Linked DNA regions of Xenopus tropicalis. The protein of the gene in region 2 interacts with the protein of the main gene of each other region in a pairwise test. Links are inferred from orthologs where the notes say so. Each region holds a gene or a part of one and is shown on either strand. Other genes may lie near its edges.

What was found.
Region 1: the proteins of ccdc155l (region 2) and bag5 interact in binary tests that used the Homo sapiens proteins (3 or more experiments, as listed by UniProt). The two-hybrid records come from large-scale screens. The link is inferred for Xenopus tropicalis from reciprocal best matches to the Homo sapiens genes KASH5 and BAG5.

Annotation. Positions count from the first base shown.
Region 1 is NC_030684.2:98,469,436-98,473,007, forward strand, and holds bag5 (BAG family molecular chaperone regulator 5), read right to left. Parts: upstream 2,203-3,572; 5' UTR 2,169-2,202; coding exon 816-2,168; 3' UTR 514-815; downstream 1-513. UniProt on the Homo sapiens protein: Co-chaperone for HSP/HSP70 proteins. It functions as a nucleotide-exchange factor promoting the release of ADP from HSP70, thereby activating HSP70-mediated protein refolding.
Region 2 is NC_030683.2:112,424,174-112,426,934, forward strand, and holds the end of ccdc155l (lymphoid-restricted membrane protein), read left to right. Parts: intron 1-849; coding exon 850-1,010; intron 1,011-1,943; coding exon 1,944-2,142; 3' UTR 2,143-2,251; downstream 2,252-2,761. UniProt on the Homo sapiens protein: As a component of the LINC (LInker of Nucleoskeleton and Cytoskeleton) complex, involved in the connection between the nuclear lamina and the cytoskeleton.

The sequences.
Region 1 (3,572 bases), on a different chromosome or scaffold from region 2:
TTTTTGGCCAAGAGCTTGTGCAAGATTTAATGCGATAAAATGTGAATTTTTGTATATCTTTTTTTAAAAAAAAACCTTATTCAATTTGAATTTTTTGCCCATTTTGAATAGCATGTGCTATGCTTTAAGAATGTTTTCGCTGTCTGTACAGAATTACGAGATGCACATTTTGGTTTGTGAAGCACATTCTCTAAATATATAATGACACAATGGTGCTGATTTATTAAAAAATGAGTTTAGAGCTTAATACATGAAAACCCACATTCACCCTTAATTTCTGTTTATTACTGGGTAAAAGTTAGAGTTCATCATTTGATAAACACACTTCTAAAAATCCCATAGGAATTAACAGAAATCAAGCTGAACTACATCTTTTAATTCTGCATGTGCTGCAATGTCTATTTTGTAATTAGATACCTTAAACGCAGCAGCCTTTTTACACTGAACAATATAATTAAAAATGTACATACTATTCACTTGTGTACATAACAATGACAATGTTGTACCCCCATCAAAAAAGACAGAACTTTTATTTAAGAATCAGCACAAAAATGAGAAGAGAGATACAACTAGAAATATGCCACTTATTGTTCCACTTGATAAAGTCAAACTGGGATATTTAGCATTAAACATTCTATAATTTTTCGCCATTGGTACATGAAAACAAAAACTGGCTAGCTTTTGACTGAAGCTTTGTTTTATGACAGATAATTGGCTTAGTAAAAACCCTATCTTGCAATGATAATGCAAGGATGAAACTGAGACATCTTTACAGCCATATTTAAAGTGCAAGCAAAGCGAAAGCAGTGTTTTTTTTAGTATTCCCATTCATCAGTTTTCATATCAAGATATCCAAGGATATTATTTGCAAGCTTCACAGCTTGTTTTCTTGCAGCCTTTGTACGGCCATCCTGTGAATCAATGGCATCAAGAGCCAGCAATTGTTTAGTAATAAATTCTTCTAATCTCATATAATTTTTATCAGCTCTCTTCCCATCAAAGAAGAGGACTTCCTTTTGAAGTTCAGATAAATGTCCAAAGACAGTCCATACAGCTATATAACATGGAGGCTCTGAGACTGTGTGTTCTGGTAAACTCTGGCGCTTTTCGAGAGCTTCTTTTAGATCAATGTAGGTGATGACAGTTTGGACCTCAACTACAGCTCGTCTTCTAGCTTCACGAATGCAAGGATTCCTCCCTACACTAACTTCATCCAAGCTAGCTATGAGGCCCTGCAGCTCTGACTTTGTACCCATATAGATGTCAGACATATGCTGCTGCACTTCTAAAAGACTGTTCTTTATTTTTGCTGCTTCTTTGCGAATCTCTTCTATTTTTACAATTGACTGGTTTTGGCCCAAGTCATAAGCACTTCCCAACTCAGCTTCATCCTCTAAATCCAAATATTTCAGCAAACTGTTGATTTCCTTAACAACTTCTTTGCGATACTCTCTTATGTCTGTGTGGCCAGAAACATCCAGAGCATCCAGGTTTGCAATTAATCCAGTAAGAGTGCAAGATAAATGCCTGTATGTTTCATTGTCATTGACGCCAGCTAGAAGAGCTATGAGACTGCATCTGGCTTTGTTCACATCACACATAATTGAGTTAATTTTAGAAACTGTTGGATGTGCCTCAGCAGAGAGAGGGAGAGAAAGTACTTGTTGTTTAGAAGAGCTTTCTAAAATTTCTTGAATGGCAAGAACTTTAGTTAAAGTTCGGTACCTAGCTTTTCTTAGAGGGATCTTTCCCTCGGTTTTTACTTGAGTAAGTCTTTTCAAAATATTCTGAATTCCTTCCTCAAATTCATCTGTTCTCTGACCTTCCCCACTAAATTGTGTAGTATGTAGCGCTACCAAACTCTGAGTTTCACTAAAGATCTTTTCGATCTCAAGTCTGCAAGGATGGGTTGCATTCTGCTCCAGTTCCTTTAAAACTCTTTCTGTCTCTTCAGTAGCTTTCTTTTGGGCTTGTAGAATGTTTCCTTTTCCCTCTGTCTCAATAGATTCTATTTCAAATAACTGTTTAGTTAAATCTTTTTCAAGCTTTTTATAAGTTGGGTCACTCTTTAGACCACTAAATGTCACCACTTGTTGTTCAATCTCTTTGACCTTCTTCTGTATTTCTTGAAGAGCTGTGACTGAAGCATGTTGATTACCCATATCCATACTCAATACAGCAATTTCTTAGAAGATACTGGTGCTAAAAAAAAAACCAAAAACAAAAAGGTAAAGATGCCATTCCTAAGACATGTTTATTTAAACAAAAAACAGGTATTGTCTAACCATTACATTACATTACATTTATTTATAAAGCGCCAACATATTCCGCAGCGCTGTACAATAAGTGGGTTACATACATTGGACATACAGAGTAACATATAAAGCAATCAATAACCGATACAAGAGGTGAAGAGGGCCCTGCCCAAAAGAGCTTACAACCATCTCTTCATCCATGTATATATACTGTATATATATATATATATATATATATATATATATATATATATACTGATTTGAATAATGTTGATTTGAATAAAACTTCTATATTTTCTTAAGACCTGTGAGTGCGGACTCTCTCTACAGCTACTCCATCTATTATTTTGGGACTGCACCCAGGCTCCCTTGGACCTACTTATACGTGAGTGCCTGTCTTCTTGCAACATGCTATATATATATATATATATATATATATATAATTGAAACCTATGCCCCACGCACTTCACTTAAAAACTGGAAGGATTTTTCTTAAACTGTTTTTAATAAAATAATGTTCTAGTTATACTTTTCTTTCTCCTCCTCTATCTCCAAAAATTCCTGCATAGAACTTAAGTATGAAACTATGTAGCTAAATTAAGTAGAAAACTGAATCCCGTTTAGCAGAAAGTACTGGCCATGATGCCCTCTTACACTTTTCCATGCTCACACAAATTTTGAGGCCAGTGCACACAGCACACCAGTGAATCTGGTGTGAAACATAAAGGGAAGATAATGCTAGTTAGTCAAAGTTTATACCAGTGCTGTCCAACTTCTGCGGTGCCGAGGGCCGGAATTTCTTTAGCATACACGGTGGAGGGCCGCTAATGGAAGCCAGTTTTGGCCACTCCCCTTTTTTTGAACCACACCTACTTCAAACCACACCCATTTTATCACAATGGTGGTAGTGCACCAAAAACCCAAATGCTTGGTCCTCACTGCGGGGATATCAACAGTTATTCATATGTGAAAGAATTATATTATGTCATATTAAGACACACCCTTAAATCCATATGCCTCCTCCTCCCCTGTGGATAGCACAGCAACCCCCAGCAACATAATTACACACCTTAGGGACCATTTAATGGCTGTTTCCAACTACTAACAAACTCCCAGAACAAACCCCTGCCAGGTTCACCTCTCACAGGCAGCATAGGGCAGGCAGAGTATGGCATACACAGACCTCCTCTGATGAAGCGCCACACGGTGCGAAACGCGTTAGGAGAGTGGGTAGCATTAGGCACTGGGATACCCCTGTCCTTTTTGGTATGATTTATATGTTAGTTTTTGTTGTATTTATTTAAGCCAATAAATGTT
Region 2 (2,761 bases):
CCAAACATCAACCAACATGGTGCATCAGCAGAAGACATTTCCAAATGGAACTGATCATCTGTGATCAGACGGCTGGATAGTATGGTCAAACTGCCGACCATATCATATCTGGCCATGTGTTCTGACCATTTAACCAAATGTTCTTTCACCATTGTCATTGTTCTTATGTGCAATCAATTGTTCACAATACTTTAACCTTCAGAGGCCTCAGTCGCTGAGATTTTGAGGTAAGAAAGCTAAATCTGGACATAAACAGCCTGGCATTGACTGCTGACTTATTGGTTGTGTATGGCACCAACATTCCAACCTCCCTGATCAATACCTGATGAGACTGTGGATGTGGCCCTCCTCTGATCTGTACAGGGCTACTATGTATTCATATAAAAATAGCCCACTCCCTCCACTCTGAGTTGCCATCACTGCATGGTCCTTTCTTTACGTCTCAAGCCCAGGGCAACTACCACTATTGGCCACTCCTAAGGATAGCTCTGCAACTAAGCCAGAGTGAGTTGAAAATATACATTTTGTGATATTGTGCAATATTTGTAGATATCTAAACCATGAGAAATACAACATTATTCCAAAACTGTTTGCAAACCATTACGTTAACAGAAAAAGTAGAATCCATGGTGCTAACATAAACATACTATTATGCCAGCACCACAGATTCTACATTTGTACACTTTGGTCTATGCTTCATTGTGTGGTCTGGCAACCTGTAGCGCTGCACAATAAAAGCAGCTTGTCACTGAAAGGGTTAATGCAACAACATGGATATATTACCATATCTTTTAACCAAATATGTTTTTCTCTTGTCTGCCACGGCACATTCTCTCCTTAAAATCCAAGCTGTATGAGCAGAGCGGCCACTTCCTGCTAGAACTGAACTACCTGCTTGAGCTGAAGAATGTGTGGGAAAGGCAGTGGGGCAGGTTGGGCAGAGCCGTGCAACTGTACACAGGGAAGGAGGCCAAGGAACCAGACAGTGAGGAGCTCCCTGCTACTGAATGGTATATCTTTGGAATATGTGCCTGCTGCATAAAGGCCAACCTCACTTTATGGTTCTTGTGTTCAGCAAACATCACATGTTCCCCCATTTTGGCGCTATCTGAGCCTCCAGATATAAATAGAAATGTATTTTCTTTACACAGACATAACTTATTCCCCAGATTGAAAGGACGCCAAGATAGTCTGTCTCTGCTTGCAGGGATGAGTTTCCCACCCCCAACCATGACCTTAAGTCTCTCTGCTTTCCAGAGAATCTGTGCACCTCCCATTATTAAAAGCAGAGAGACTTCAAGAGACCCAGAAACCATCACTTCCCAGTGGAACACGGGGGGAGAGGTTGCCTTACACAGTCAGGCTAAGCCATGTGGAGAAATGGTTTTTTAGAGTATCATGGTTATGGGTTAGTAAAGTCTTTGCATGTATGGCAGCCTTGATTCTTTTATTGTGTATTTAGAAAGGTTAAGGGTGAAGACAGACATAGTTACTAGTAGCAGCTACTTGTCACGGCTACTTAAATAGACAGTAGTGATCATTTACTGATAATTGTCTTTAGGTGAGTTTTAGCAGAGGCAATTCTCAGTATAGTCTATGGCAGGATATTTTCTGGCATTTAGGGCAAACACACACGGGGTGATTAGTCGTCGTGACTAATCGCAGCAACTTTTCTGCCATAGAATAGTAGTCGCTGCAAGTAAACGCTCGCGAGTTTTCACTATGCAGATTAGTCACTGCTACTTGACTAATCACCCCGTGTGTCTTCGCCCCTAGTAGCTGTGAAAAAAAATGTAATTCTAAGTAAATATCCATTAATGAAAAATGATCAGTGGCTTTAAAGTTATGTGTAAGATTTTGAATTAAATTTTCTTTTGCTGTGCACTGTTTTTGTGTGCCTTTATTCTGTGGTACTCACCTATTGCCTCACATCTCCTGTTCAGGTTATGCACTGATACTCTGCACACTTCCATAGTGCCCTGCATACAACTGCAGAACAAGAGCTCACTATGGCTAACCCTGATCCTTCTTGGCACACTGATGTTTTGCCCAGCGTGGGCAGGGGAGCACATCTGGACTGTACTGAAAGCAGAGATATGGCCTCATCTAGACTTGCACTACCATTCTCCACCACCGGTTTGAAAGAGGTGCCAACACCACACAGCTACTAGCCAATGATAAAGAAGAGAGCAAAAGCAGCATTTTATCTTTATATTTCTGTTATTTTAACATCTTAGTTATCTTTATCTTCCATTGTTCTTATATTGTTGCACTTGTGTCTGATCTCTGGTAGGAGTTTTACAATAGTGACTGACACAATAAGAGACTAATGTGCTAATGAGCTAGGGGAAGTGGGACGAGAGCTAATTAATCCTTTGGGAGGGATGCAGCATTTGGCTATGGTTCTTATGGCAGGGGGTTGTGGGAGAATGTGATGGTAAAGAACTCAGTAGCATTCACACACTGCCACAGGCTGCACCCTCTCAGCCGGACAAGGTAGTTTAGCCAAATAAATGCCTTAATAAAACACCTTAAAGTGACAGTACCCCCCCCCCCTTTGTTCCGCTGGTATGCAATGAATAGGGCTTGTGCTAAGCATACTTTTATCTATTGTTTTAATCAGGAAACATTTTTTTTTCTTTTTATTTCTTGAGCTAAACAGGGAAACTGAAATGACTCCATGTTTGGTCCTTGCAAAGTACATCATTAGATTCCCAATGCACAGATAAGAGCCGTGGTAGATGGGGAGATTAGTCGCCCA